2 linked regions of the Tamandua tetradactyla genome follow. The protein of the gene in region 2 interacts with the protein of the main gene of each other region in a pairwise test. Links are inferred from orthologs where the notes say so. Each region holds a gene or a part of one and is shown on either strand. Other genes may lie near its edges.

Region 1 (7,293 bases), on a different chromosome or scaffold from region 2:
AATAAAATTAAATAAAAATGAAAAAAAATAGTGTGGCATAAATACAGACAAATAGATCAAAGGAACAGAATTGAAATTCCAGAATAAGAGCCACACATCTATGGCCAATTGATTTTTTTTTTTTTTTTTGCATGGGCAGAAACCAGGAATTGAACCCGGGTCTCTGGCATGGCAGGTGAGAACGCTGCCTTCTGAGCCACTGTGGCCCACCCTACGGGCAATTGATTTTGACAAGAGTGCTAATTACATGCAATGGGGAAACATTAGTCTTTAACAAATGATGTTGAGAAAACTAGATATCCACATGCAGAAAATGAAGTTAGACCCCTCTCTCACACCATATAATTAAAAAAATCAACTCAAAATGGATCAGGAACCTAAATATAAAAGCTAAAGCTGTAAAATTCTTAGAAGGTAACATAGCAAATTTTCATGACCTGGGATTCACTGATAGATTTTAGATATGACACCAAAAGCATGAGCAACAAAAGAAATAATAGATAAATTTAATGTTATCAAATTTAAAACTTTTCTGTACACAGGAAGTTATCAAGAAAATAGAAAGACAACTCACAGAATGGGAGCAAATAGTTTCAATCCACATATTGGATAAGGGCTTAATATCCAGAATATATAAAGAACTTTTATAATGCTACAACAAAAAGACAAACAACTCACTTACAAAAATGGGCAAAGGACTTGAATAGACATTTCTCCAAAGATATACAAATGTCCAATAAATACATGAAAGGATGCTTAACATCAACAGACATTAGGGAAATGTAAATCAAAACCATGAGATACCACGTTACACTTATAGGAATGGCTATTATTTAAAGAAATGGAAAATAAGTGTTGGAGAGAATGCAGAGAAATCGAAACTCTAGTGCATTGTTGGTGAGAATGTAAAGTGGTGCACCCACTGTGGAAAGCAGAATAAAGTTTCCTCAAACAGTTAAATATAAAATTATATTTTATTGGCCACTGTAAGTGGCAATTCCACTTCTAGTTATATACTCAAAGAGAGTGAAGGCAGGAGTCTCAAGGAGATACTTGTACATCAGTGTTTATAGCAGCATTATTCACAATAGCCAAAAGTTGGAAAAAACCCCCGAGTCCTTCAACAAATGAAAGGATAAACAAAATGTATTACACATATGCAATGGAATATTATTTGGCCGTAAGAATGAAGTTTTGAGACATGCTGCAACAGAGGATAATCTTAAAAACATTTTGCTCCGTGCCTGCTCATGTAAAAAAAATATATATGTTTTTGCTCCATAAAATAAGCATTGTCCATAAGGACAAAAATTATACGATATTATTTGTGGGCGATGACTAGGTATAGCAAATTTGCAGCCATAGAAATCACATTAGAGGTTAACAGCAGATGAAGGGTGGGAGGAAGACAAAGTGTTTGGTTGTAGAAATAAATAATAAAATTTAAAAATATGCTAGAGTGTTATGCACTTTCTATTGGTAATCTTGATTTTTAAAAAAAATGCTGCCTAATTTTAAAAGAATATTTCTATGAACATTCCTGTACCTGTTTTTTGAGTGCATATGTATACACATCTGTTGGGTATATATAGTTAGGAGTAGAATTATTCAGTTGTAGGATATGTATGAATCCTGGCTTTGCTGTATGACCTTGGGCAAGGACCCACAACCTCTTGAGAACAGTCTCCTTACTGTACCAAGTAGCTAATCTCACCTTGATGGGAAAACTGCTTTTGTTAATGAACAAAGGAGCAAAGTACTGAGAAACTTATCCTTTAAAATAATAGATTTTCAGAAAATATGCTGATTGAAATATATTAGTAGAAGTGGAACATTTCACTCTACTCTGGAGGATCTGAGTTACTTTGACACTGAATAGCAATTTCCATTTTCCAACCCAGGTGCAGAGCTTCAGATAAGGGGTTTCCATATACAACATTCGTCATTTATCGTCACATTGTGGTTTCCAGGGAGACAGGATCCTGAATCTCCTGGTTAGTCGGACCTGATGTTAATCTCTTTGCATATAACCTGGTGTGCTTTGAGGCTGTCAAAACATCACTTCTTTTAAATTTTACCTTCACTCCATCTTTTCCCTAAGACCTAGAATAACTCTATCAAGATGCCTGAAGATTCCTCTTGGGTAAAGTCTTCCTTGTAACAGCAAGTTAGTATGCCTAACTTTGTTAGAGCACAGGTAGTCTTTTTTTAAGGTGGGCTTTATCTTGGGGATTACCAGTAATGTGCGCAGAACGTGTGTACACTGCTTAACACCTGATTAGGCATTTATGAAATGGTAAGGTTAGTTTTTATTATTCATTTATGAGTTCAATAAATGTTTATTTGGCATCTAGTATTTGCAAAGCAAAAGTTCACTGCTATAGAGCTGCACAGATGGAAAACCACTTTTATTTTAGACGGAGGAAGAAAATAACAGCAACAACTATATCTTCAATTCCTAGGAGATAAGTAGCTGTACTGAATTTCACTATAAGTAGTGTCAAAACATCCTCAAGACAGTTTTTTGGGTAAAAAGTACAATATGCATGATTTATTACAAGTTTTGACATAAAACTATGGATTCTAAGAACAGTAGTTTTAAAAACCAGTATGAGAACCCCCAGTATCACTGTCTCCTATACAGAAAGAGATGCTGGAAAAAAAAAAAAAAGGAGATAGACTTGTTTACAAAAGCTCTAAGGCTGAATGCAGGCTTATTCACCCATTTGGGGACCCCTCCCAAGATGTAAACAGGCAAACAGCTTCCTCTCTTTGCCGTTTTCCAGAGACTGTAAGGCATGCTTGGGGGTGGAGGGTGGGGGAGTGAAGAACACAGGAAAAAATGCCTATTTCCCTTCACTTCTCTCTATCTTGATCTCCTCCCAAACCCAAATCCTACTGCTGTCTTTCCCTTCATCGTTTGCTCACACAATGCAGCCTTCTGTAGGAATATTGAGGCTGCATACTCCAAATTACTTAAGGAAATGACTTTAAATTTTGGGAGTCTATTTCCCCAAGAAATCCCGGTTTGGAATACATGAAGAGGCTACTTGGGAGGGATTAGATGGAGAATGAATTTGGGAATACGGGGTTGAATTTTAGGGAAATAGAGAGATGATGACGGAGTCAACATAGTGTATGAGTTTTGTAGTCAAATCTCATTAAAGCGAATTAACCTCTATGGCCTTATTTTTTCCTCGTCTGTAAAACGGAAAAAAATAAAGCTTACTTTGCAGAGTTACTTCAGCTTTAAAAAATTGACCGTCTATTATTTATTCAAAATAATTTTTTTCTTTGAATGAGGATTTACAAATTTATATATTCTTTCCTATGGAAAAAAAACACACAAAAAATGAACAAGTAAGCAGGTAAGGAAGAACTTTTAGATGAAAGCCTGACAAGATCTAGGAAAATGGAGGACAGTACTGTCTGCCTACTTACAAAAAGCAAATGAATGCTCAGTGCTTTTCAGAGATTTCAAGCAGGAGATATTACACTTAACTGATATCCCCTAATCTACAGCACTCAAATGGCAAACCAAATCCTTCAGTAGCCAAGAATACCAAGATGACTGGAATATTCAAATGCAACGTATCCAGTTCTTCAAAATGGTCCATGGTGCAATGCTTATATCAGACCTCCAGAGAAACAGTGTCTTTTGTTGCAAGTTTCCCAGCAAGTTCTATATGGATAGAACATCGATCCTTACTGTGAAAGAGCTTGTAAACAAGTGAATTTAGGATTCACACAACACTAGGTGCTCAAAAATATTAAGACAAAACAAAATAAATAAATAAAATTAAAAAAAATATTTAAAATTAGAAAAGGGGTGGAGGGAGAAATGAAACTGGTTGTAGGCTCCGCAAATACTACTAGAGCCCCTAAAGGATGGAAATAGAGAAAGGAATTTCAGGAGTTTGGTTTAGGATATGAGTTTAAGGTTAAGGATATGAGTTTCGAGGTTGTCAAATTCTCCTAGACTCGGGCCTGACTTCTCAGAATAGATCAGAATGGGAAGTAATGGCTGAGATCATCTGGTATAATTTTATGCAAATAGTAAATTCTTGCCTCCTGTCACTGTGCCCCGCCACTGACGTACCCAATTTGAGTCCCAATTATGTGACATCATCGCCCCGCCCCGCATCCCCAAACCTCTGTGTGTCGGGTCTCTAAGCTACAGCCCCAGGCACTCTTCCAGCGACGCATGCGCACTGCGTGAGGGCGGGGGCTAATGCGCGCGCAGCCTCAGCTCTTTCCCTGCCCTTCTCTTCCCGGTTTCCCGGTCGGCCTGCGGGTCCAGTCTGACGGCTGCTTCCGGTCGGAGCTCAGTGCCCGGCCCGCGGGTGTCAACTCCTCGTCATGTCCTACGGCCCTTTAGACATGTACCGGAACCCGGGGCCCTCGGGGCCCCAGCTCCGGGACTTCAACAGCATCATCCAGACGTGCAGCGGCAACATCCAGCGGATCAGCCAAGCCAGTGAGCCGGAGGGACCGGGCTGGGGGGCGGGCGCCGTCCCGGGGACAGGCCTGGATGAGGCCGCCGGGACGCGGAGCCTGGTTCGGGCTTCAGCGAAGGCCACGCCTGAGGCCGTCAGGCTCTCCACTCTTGGGGCGTTGAGCTGCCATCCCCTAGTATGTCAGGTCCTGGCTCCTGGAGGGTTCCGAACCCCAGCTGAAGCTCGAGGTTCTTTTCAGGAGTTCAGCTATTACGGTTTTGGGGCCGAAACTGCAGACTTGACAGCCGGAGGCTGAGGGGATGCCACCTCGAGAGCAGTGTGGTGTTGGCTTGGCATTAGTAGTCAGCCGAGTTTTTCCTGTCACCCGTCTTCCACCCACCCTCATCCCTTCCCTCTTTGGCCAGTTTGGATAGGGGGTTGTTTACTGATTTAGGCTTTACATTGACATTCTTCTCGGCCTCTGATTCCTCCTAAATTAGCAGTTTTCAGTGAAAGGAAGTACGGAGTGCGTGTATTTGGATGACTTTATAAACAGTTCTTTCTGTAATGAATATGGGAACCAGATACAATGACTGTGTTTTAGGTATGGGATGACTTCTGTTTTAATAAAGAGAATTCATTGAAAACATCTCAGTTTACATTATTTTGTCTTTTGTGTAGCAAAGGATTTATGTATGTTTTTGGATTACAAGTGGGATGAGACTTTAGTTTCCTTCCATATTGAGCTACTCTTTCCAACAATTCTGATGCACGGAGAGGCTCAGGGATCTGACCACAATCACACACTAAGACCTGGTAGAGTTGGTGGCAGAATTCAGAATGTCCCCAAATCCCCTCCCCACCATCAGTGGCTAGTGAGACTAGCATAAGTCTGAATTCAGAGCCTTGTAAACAGGTGGTGAGCAGCAGCAACTTTACTTGGAAAGAATGGTGATTATCATCATTGTTGTTTAGTATTGTGTATTTGTGAGTTTTGCTATGTGCTGTTAATAGAACTACTGGGTCCTGAATTCAATTATGTCCTGTATTTTAAAGGATAAACTGTCACTTTGCTTTTAAATTTAAATGTGTAATGAAAATTTGAGAGGCAGAAAGTTTCTGATGGGAAGGAATTGAGATTGAGTGATGTGGAAGTAGAGAAACGTGTATGGTCCGTTAAATCCAGAAATAAAAATAAATTAACATGACCAGTGGATAGAAAGGATACTACTTTGTGCTTCAGTTTCCTTTTGTGAGGGAGATGAAATACTGGTTAGATCAGAAAATTCTGGTTGAAGGCTGAAAGCTTCTTGTTGAGGTTAAATCTAATTTTTGTGTTTGTTTGTTTGTGAAGTATTCATTCAAGATGTTATTTGTTTACCTGGATATGGAGTAAGTATAGGAACTGGCACAGATTCTTTTGTCAGCAGGCCTTTGAAATACATAAATAACCTGAATATAAATAAAGTCAAAAGGGATCAGTGCTATAGAAGACACACATATGACATTATCTGGGTATTCAGGGAAGAGAGGGGACATTTCCATTTGGGGAGGTATCAGAGAAAGATTATAGTATTCTAGCTAAATCTAGAAAGATGATGATAGAAAGAAATTGGACTTTTGAAGGTAAAGAGGAGAAGAGCATTCCAGGAGGAGAGAATAAAATGAGCAGTCTCGGTAGTAGAAAAGCATGGGGTGTATATGGGAAAGTAGAGTAATTCGGTTTGGCTAGAGTGATGGATTCAGGAAAACAGTAGAAAATAGGGTTGGGAAGGTAAGTTGGCACCACACATGAAGGGCTTTAAGTGTTGGGCCAAGGGGCTTAGAATTAATTATTTAGGAATGTGTAAATTAAATTGGAAGGAAGAGAGACTGGACTCAGCTATCAGGGACTGTGAGAACGAAAAGGAAGGAAAGGATAGGAGAGGTTTGCTTGGAGATAGAACTAATAAGACTTAGCTGTTGATTTGATATTGGGCCCAAGGGGATCATTGAAGTCAACTACTAATAGCATTAATAGCTAACATTTATTGAGTACATACTGTGTGCCAGGCAGTATGAAAAGTGCTTTCCATGCATTGTCTTAATTAAATTTATGACAATCCTGTGCAGTAGGTACCGATATTGTTTTCATTTTATGGAAATGGGCTGAGAGTAGTTAAATACTGCTCAGCTAATATATGGCAAGCCAAATTGGAATAGGTCTGTCTCTTGTGAACATCAGCCTTTTTATAATTTTTAAAATCAATTATTACAGTTCTGTAGTGGTTAACACGTCAACTATACAGGTGACTTGTTTTTTCACCCCATAGAGGAAACTATGGGGAATACCTGAACCTGTGACGCTCTCTTCCTTCTCTTCTTGAGGTGTGGTCTGTCTCCCCTGCTAGATTGTTAGCTCCTTTGAGGTAGGGGACATGACTTCTCATCTTTGTATTTCTAGAATTTATCTTAGTCCCAAGCATATAGTAGATTGGAGCATTCATGTAGCAAGCGTTCTTTGAGCATCTACTATATGCCAAGCATTGTTCTAGGTGCCTGGGCAAGAGGATGAAAAGGACAGTCAAAACCCCTGCTCTGATAGAGTGTGTGTATGGACATACATATATATAGGCAAAATGATATCAATAATAAATTGTATTAGTTAGGGTTCTCTAGAGAAACAGAATCAACAGGGAATGCCTGCAAATAAAAAATTTATAAAAGTGTCTCACTTGACTGCAGGAACGCAGAGTCCGAAATCCGCAGGGCAGGCTGTGAAGCCTAGGACTCCAATGGAGGCTTGCCAGCCAAAGCAGGAAGAGAACCTGTCTCTTCTGAATCCTCCTTAAAAGGTTTCTGGTGATTAGATTAAGCA
Region 2 (7,981 bases):
TGTGGGGCTTTCTGAAAGTGGAATGTCACTCAGAGACATTAAAGAGGTGGCAACTTCTTCCAATACAGGTGTCGGGGTCAACGGGGAAAAGCACAACTCCCACAGGCTCTGACATCTTACCCCCAAACAGACAGCACAAGGTCAGCTTCACTGGTGGGGGTTGGTTCCCTGTGGCCAGGGGCCTTAATCGATGGCTGATACTGGGAGATGTGCTACCTGCACCATCCCTCTCTGTGTACCCCCAAGTGGAGGAACCCCCTGCTTCCCCACCAGGGACAGATATGCCACCAGGCTGGGGGGCAGGGTGTCAGCAAACACTCTCCAGTGAGTGTTACGTGTGCTTGGGACAACAGGGGAAGCAGCCCCTGTATCTACTGGGAGATTGTTTCATCCAGCCAGGCTGACACACCTGGCCCCTGGCAGAGGATGTATTTGTGGGTCCCAGTTCCCTACCACGTGGTGGCGGCGGAGCAAAACCTCAAAAGGCCAGAAAGGAGATGACAGCTGGGCAAAATGGGTAAAGAGAGAAGGAGGATCTGTGACACTGGGGGGTGGGGGTGGAGAAGAGAGGGCCTCAATCTCTTGTAAGGGATGGGGTTTGGGTTGCTTGAGGGTAAACCAAAGGCTCCGAGTAGGTGAGGCTGGGAGGAATCAGGAAGGGGCCCTAGGCCCCCTGGGGTCCAGCCTCCTGGCTCCTACCTGGTGCAAGCTCAGCAGGTCGCCCCATCTGCAAAATGGGGCCGACAGGACTGCTTAAGGGTAAAAGGAGGAACGCCCTGGTAGCAGCAGGATCCTGGTAAAGAGCTCCAGGCAGCCTTCAAAGCCCGCCCAGCCGAACCTGCTTCCTCAAGGAGATGCCTCTCCTTCACATCCACCTCCCTGCAGACAGGAGAGTCATTTCTGGCGGGATTGGAGAGAGGAATAAACGAGACTCGGCCTGAACGAGCTATTTGGTCTGAGGCATGTGGCCAGTTGGAGCTGTTCTATAAGCTAATGCTGACCCCAGGACACCCTGTGTCCGTCCCTGCATCCAACACCCATCCGTTACTTGGCTTCAAGTTCCTGTATGTTGCGACATCCTGGGAACTCATCTGTCAACTTCTGCTGTCCTCTGCAGAAAGCGGAAGCGGCTATGCGTGGCGTGGGGAGGAAGTGAGTCTAGGACGTGACCCTGTCAGCTCCGGCCGATTCCAGATGGGCCTCAGCTCAGCGCGGGAGCTGGTCCCAGTGCAGCTGGGCGGCCGCACAGGGGCGTCTGCCTGGCTCCCTGCCTCCCGGTGGGGCTCTGCGGCTGAGGGTTGGCGTCACCTCTGTCTACTCACAGCCTCTCTCCAAAGGGTTTGGAGCAGCTTCCTAGGCTAGCCCGGGCAACTGTTGGGGAATCAGCACTTTTAAAGTCGATTTTGTGCTTCCTGGTAGCCAGGAAAAGAAAGGAGGTGAGGTGTGTTAAAGGAAATAATAATAAGAAGAAAGTAAAATTATGACTTTCATACAAATATAAAATGAAAATCAAAGTTTTTGTTTAACTTATGAATTGAGGCACGTAAAAAACTGGTTTAAAGGTGACTCCAAAGAAAAGCACATCTAGAGGCCATATCAGGCACAGCAGGAGGGCTGAATGCTGAACCGAATTTGCTGATAGATGCAAAAATAGCCTCTTCCGCAGCACGGAAATCAATTGCATCTCTATGGACACGAGTCATTTGCATTGCTCTCAGTTTTCTCCAGCACACTGAGTTGTAAAATAGCTCCGTGGAAGACAATGAAATCAGCACCCAGGAGTCTTTTTGTCCATTTCAAAGCCTTTTGCAATTTCCCCGGCCAGGTGATAGATTGATTAGATTTCTTTAGCTGTGGATTCTAAGCAGCTCCTAAGGACTAATGGAAGCTTTGGGGAGAAGAGTTTGGGTATCATCAGAAAAGTAGCACTGGCCTCCCAAATGGTCTTGCCTGCCTTGTGTACACACCACAGCAGAGCCTCGTTCTGAGGCAACTCCTCAATCCCCAGCCAGGATGCTGGAGTGTTAATTTATGGGGTGAACAATAACTGGTGGGTGGGGACAGGGTAGAGTGTGGTTGCCTAATGCTAAAACCAACTTCTCGGTTGAATTGACCTTGAGCACATGGCGGTTACTTCGGGCTGACAGCTAGGCAACGAGCAAGAACGTGTCCCCAGGGGCCGGGACTTACATAAAACAAGGCTTTTAGGGAAGACCACGTCACTCCTCAGGGCTATAAAGCCACCTCGCCTTTGTTGGCTGTGTGTGTCACACCTGGGCCCACGGCCCGGAGATGCCAGGTGCTGTCCATTAATCAGAAATAATGAGCCAGGCAGCCGTGGCTTCTAATCAGATACAATCCCTCTCTCCAGAGTGTCAGATGGAGGCCAATTAGCCGAGGCACCGAGTGACAAAATTCCGCCTTTCCAAGCAAAACAGCAGAAAATGCTCAAGCCCCTTAGCGATGCTGCGCCCTGGGGTCTCACCTTTTCTCAGGTTTGTGTTGATTTTTTTTTCTTGATCCCGGGAGATTGAGCCGGGGGTCCTAGGAAGGCAGACAACTCTGCCACTTGGAGTGAAGCTTGAGCTGTTGTGTGTCGTTTTGTTTGTTGTTTAAATCTCGGCCTCTAGCCCCCACCACTCCCCATTCCGTGGCCAAAAGCTCCATCCTTTCTGGGGCCACGTAGTTCATTCTCAGTTGCTTGAGGGCACATGCAGGCCTGCAGGTGGCTCACACCTGAGCCTTTGGGTCCACTTCCGGGCAGACAATTTAGGAAGAAGAGCCCCAGCCAGGAACATTTCTGCTCACTTACCCATTGCTGCTCGCTTTTCTGCAAGGCATCCCTAACCATTCTTATTATGTTCGATGGCAAGCTCAACATTTTCTAATAGAAAAAAAAAAAATAGCGTGAGTACACAGTAAATTAAAAAAACAAAAATAAGTCCTCAGGCTATCCCCAACTTCTCCTGGGGGTTTTTTTAGGTCTGCTTACAGAAACTTCTAGGCCTACAAGCTTGTGCATGACTTTTTGTTTTTTTTTTTAAATACAAGTAGATGCCCATTCTACTCTACCCACACTTCTGAAAGTTCCTTTTTTTTAACTTAACAATGGATCTGGGTGGCCAGTCCCCCAACAGGGCACTGGCAAGTCTTCTTCATTCTTTCTAAGAGTTACCTACTGTTCCAGAGCTATTTAACCAGCCCGTCCTGCTGGGCATTTAAGTTGTTTTTGGTCTTTTGCAATGTTCATTGGCTTAAAGTTCGGTTCTCAAGTTTCCCAGTTCCGAGGGACTTCCTGCTGCCACCTCAAAACCTAATGCACTCAGCATTCACCTGGCCAAAAAATGAAAGTCCACATCTGTCTCCCGTTCTCCCTTTTGCTGCTGCCCTATTTTGCTTCTTTTTGCAACCAGAACTCTCTATTTGTTCCTCAATAAAAATAGTTTTTCTTTTCAGGTTATAAAAACGGAGCCCATTCATTGCGACACACTTACTTGACACAGAAAAAAAAAAACAAAGCAAAAATCACCTGCCGTCTGCCTCTCGGATGTGACAGGGTTGCATATGTCCTTCCAGGTCCCCTCTGCACACACAGCACTATGGAAAACCTTATGTAAACCGCACGTGTGCCGGTCATTTGTGACCCCACCACACATTCTCCACAATACACTGTGAATACAAGGATTTGTCTTGGAAGAGCCATCTACCCTCCTAGATTCCATTCCTAAACTTCACAACCCACAGACATCTAGCTCCTTGAGCTCCTCCTTCTCGATGGAAAGGGTTCTTTGGCTGCTGATAGCCTCCCTGTAATTAAATCCGAAGTTTGGGATCTTTCTTTCTTTTTTTTTTTTTAATTAATTAAAAAAAGAATTAACAAAACAATTAGAAATCATTCCAATCTACATGTACAATCAGTAATTCTTAATAACATCACATAGTTGCATATTCATCATTTCTTAGTACATTTGCATCGATTTAGAAAAAGAAATAAAAAGACAACAGAATAAGAATTAAAACAATAATAGAAAGAAAAGAAAAAAAAAAGAGATGGGATCTTTCTTGAAGTCAGGTGGCGGAGATGGGAAGAAAACTGGGCTGGGAGGTAGGAGCCCTGAGTTTTGTCTGGCACACAGAACTAATTCCATAGAGACACTCCCCCTGGCTTCCTTTAAATCCACAGCTCCTGGTCCAGCAGCGCCCCGGCTTCCTTCCCCAAGCCCTCCAGCTCCTTCCCTGATCTTCAAAAGTCAGCATTCCTCAGCCTTGCCCTGGATGTACCTTTTATCACCCTCTACATCTCACATTGCCTGGGACTCAAGAAATCCTTATCTGCAGAACAGGTCTCTCCTAAGCTCCACACCTGGCTCTCCCCAGACCCCAGACTTGATTCCCCAGAGCTGCTTCTTTTCTTGTGTTCTCTATCTCCTGCCCCTCTCCACCAAGACATCCATGTAAGTTCTACTTCCTGCCTCAGTGGAAGTTGGGGAGCTTCTCGGTCTCCCCAGCCAGAACCGGAGGGTCCTACCAAGCCTCCCCCAGAGTTCCAGCTCCCTCAGATCTCTGGGTTTGGAAGTCCCTCCTCTTCCCAGAACCTGGTTCCAGAACTCTTCCAGCCCAGAGTCTCCCAGGAGGGAAACAAAGTTTCTGGTACAATTTTTAATCCCCAGTATCCAGCAGATGTCCTGGAATCATGCAGTACCGCGAAAAAATTTAAAGATGAGACGGTGAATTAATGAAGGAGTGAGGCAACGAGCGAACAGGCGAAAGAACAGATACACCTGAACAGGTGAGGCTTGGGCTCAGTCCCGCCCCACCCCCGGAAGCCCCGCCCCCCGGCTGCCCTGCCGGAACTACATTTCCCAAAAGGCTGCGCGTCCCGGGCATGCGCACCGGAGCGCTCGGAAGCTACGACGCCGAGTTTCAGTCTGGCTACCGCCTCCTTGGAGTCGGAGTCACAGCCCGAGCTCTACCCCAGCTGAGCCGGAGCTGCCGTCCTAGCGTAGCGGCGCTCTCAGCCCGCCCTCCGCCCGCCTCAGCCTCGGTGAGAGGGGAGGGCAGGCCGCTTACTCGTCGCCGGGGCTGGAGGAGACCGAGCCGAGGCCGGAAGAGGGGCGGGCGTGGGACTGAGGGAGGGCTGGGCCGGGGGTGAGTCCGTGGGGACTGAGAGGATTGTCTTCCGGGCCTGGGGTCCTGGAGGTGGAAGTGGGGGAATTGGGAGGTGCTGGGTGGGAGGGTGGGCTCCTGGGTGGAAGCCGAGCTAGCAGGGGAGCGGGAAGCTTGGGTCGGTCGGGAGTCGTGGATCCCTTTTCCCCCGGGACCTCGAAGAGTTGGTGGCGGTCTTGCCCCCGGGCGACCTGGTTAGGGTGTGGGTGCTGCTGGGGCCTCCCACCAGGGGAGGGAGTACCTGGGGCCCGGAGCTGCGCTTTGGAGGAGTTTGCCTCCTGGTTCTGTTTTCCTCAAGTGAGGTCCGCTTTCTGGGAAGCTTCTGTTTTGCTGGGGCCCCGGGTCACTTTTGGGTGGTGCCTAATGTATGCTTGAAGAGGATTTAAAAGACTTCCTTTCTCGGGAGCGCCCCTTTCATCTGCCTTTCCCAGTCAGCTCCTGTCCTCCACGGTGGTTCCACTTCCCTTAGTGCTAACAGCAGTGGAATTAGGGCGTGTATAACAGACGCCTGGACCCTTGAGAAAGGCATGCTATCCTAGCCTCTCTAAAAGGTAGTTCTAGAAGGTAAGAATTCCTGGTAGCCAAAGTCAGGGTAGCTAGAGCTCTTGTTCAGTTTGCTGTGTGACCTTGGCCAGACTTTTCCCCTCGGTGCCGTGTGGGTGTTTTAGATACCTACCCTGCCGAGTGGCTTATGAAGTCCTTTTAGGCCTTACTATGAAATGTCTCAGGAATGAAGTTGTGTGCGTGTGTTTTGTTTGTTTTTAACTACCCCCTTGACTGTTGGAAGGAGAGAGCCTATTGTACCTTCTGCTCCGTCCAGGCTGATTGGGAAATAAATTTGGTGGTTTCCAGCCCTCCAGCTGCAGCACATGTCTCCAACATCTGTGAATCTGATTTCACTAACTGCTGTTTCTCAATTTTAAACCTGATCATCTTCTTCCTTGTTGGCAAAGGTGCCTTGGAATTTGTGTTGCTGAGTCAGCAAGCCTTTCAGATTTGCCCAGTTTTTGTTGTTTACATTTTGTATCAAGATGGGAACTCAAACAAGTCATTCCTCTTAAGGATCTGGTGACTCCATCAAGAAGGGACAGTTTGTGCCAGCTCTCCAGCAGAAAAAAAGGTGAGAGCCACGGGGACTCTACTTTGTTGCCTTCCCAATCTGGTTTTCAGTAGAGAAGGTGGGGTCTGGGGAAGGTGGAATGAGGTCTCCATCATTGGAGAGAGAGTGCTGGAAATTGATTGTTGATTAGCAACTGTCTCAAATAAATTAAAGTGGCTTTTTGCCAGCAGCTTCTTCTGGTTAACCAGTCTTAGAAATGCTTTCCACACGGTTTCCACTTTAAGACGTGCCTTTTAGGATAAAGGTCACAAGTCATGATTTCTGCTTTCACACTGGAAGTTTTATTTCTTTTGTCACATTAACCTTTACTGGGTGCCTCCTTTGTGTCAGGCTTGTGCGCAGTGCTGGGGAGACAGTGATAGGAGTACAGATCTCTGCTTTCTGGGAGCTCATTGTTTGGTGGACACGACAGACAAACAGCAGTTAGTGATAAGGTGTTGCAAGTGTGATACACGTGGGGTGTGGTGGGAGGGATTCTCTGTAGCGGGTGAGAGTGGAGTTGTTGAAGGGGGAGGAGGATTTAGAAGGGATGGGTTAGTAGCCTGGTAGAAGATTCAGCAAATGCAAAATCATGAAGCAACACGGTGTGTATGGGCTGCTGTAAGTAGTTCAGTGTGGCTGGAGCAGCAACAGGAAGGTGTAGGGTAGAGGAAGCTGGCGAGGTAGCAGAGGGATAATGTGGATGGTTTGTGGCCATTCAAGGCACTGGGGAGCTGAAGGATTTTGAACAGAAGAATTCCACAAGGAGTGTTTTTTGTTTTATTTTTTTTTAATTTTTAATTTTTTTTTACATGGGCAGGCACCGGGAATTGAACCTGGGTCCTCGGGCATGGCAGGCAAGCACTCTTACCTGCTGAGCCACTGTGGCCCGCCCACAAGGAGTGTTTTTGAAGCGACATCACCTGAAAATTAATAGAATGGGTTAGACTGGATTATTCTCTTAGCTTTTAAGCTGCCTGATTCATTTCTCCATATTTCCCCCTGTCTTATTGACTGTCTCTTTATGCCATGTCAGCTTTTGGTAGAAGGGAGAGAGGCGTCAGGGCCCTCAGGTTCTTGTGGTCCAATTGAAGAGAGAAAATGGACATAGAGAACTAGGTTTACTTTCTGTTGTGCCCAGCAAGGAGAGAACTAGGTTTACTTTCTGTTGTGCCCAGCAAGGAAGTGCTGTTTAATTGGGCCTTGAAAGAATGGGTGAGTTGAGAATGGGTGGTCAAGTGAGGGGAATTCTGGGTAGAGCAGAGGCGTGGGTGTGGGGAAACACCAGGTGTATATGAGGGATGGCAAATTATAACTTAAACTGTCTTAGAGAGACTGGAGAGGAGGAGGTGTGGATGAATGAGGGTTCTGAAAGGAAGCGCACTGGAAAGTGCTGTGGGCAGGGAGGGAGGGACCAGATTGTGATGGGCTTTGAATGTCATCCTAAGGACTTCGAACTTTATTCTGGTGCCCAGGGATAGTGTGGAAGACACTGGTACCTGGGGTAGACCAGAAGGAGAGATGGGAGTTGGAGAAGCCAGTCAGGCGGATGGGAAGTACTTATCAAGGTGAGAGCTGGGATGGTTCCAACCAGATGCTACAGTGGGGGTGGAGGGGAGGATGCCGGGGGGGACGGTCTGAGGGGAGGAAAGAGGCTGAAACTGGGCTATGGGGAGAAGGTTGAGGAGGAACAGGAATTCCAGGTTTTTCCTCTTT

The links.
Region 1: the proteins of DTX2 (region 2) and STX12 interact in binary tests that used the Homo sapiens proteins (3 or more experiments, as listed by UniProt). The two-hybrid records come from large-scale screens. The link is inferred for Tamandua tetradactyla from reciprocal best matches to the Homo sapiens genes DTX2 and STX12.

Annotation. Positions count from the first base shown.
Region 1 is NC_135328.1:198,555,013-198,562,305, reverse strand, and holds the start of STX12 (syntaxin-12), read left to right. Parts: upstream 1-4,206; 5' UTR 4,207-4,359; coding exon 4,360-4,477; intron 4,478-7,293. UniProt on the Homo sapiens protein: SNARE promoting fusion of transport vesicles with target membranes. Together with SNARE STX6, promotes movement of vesicles from endosomes to the cell membrane, and may therefore function in the endocytic recycling pathway.
Region 2 is NC_135349.1:10,302,210-10,310,190, reverse strand, and holds the start of DTX2 (putative E3 ubiquitin-protein ligase DTX2), read left to right. Parts: upstream 1-4,884; 5' UTR 4,885-4,885; coding exon 4,886-5,044; intron 5,045-5,056; exon of another isoform or gene 5,057-5,148; intron 5,149-6,119; exon of another isoform or gene 6,120-6,228; coding exon 6,229-6,286; intron 6,287-7,740; exon of another isoform or gene 7,741-7,814; coding exon of another isoform or gene 7,815-7,833; intron 7,834-7,981. UniProt on the Homo sapiens protein: Regulator of Notch signaling, a signaling pathway involved in cell-cell communications that regulates a broad spectrum of cell-fate determinations.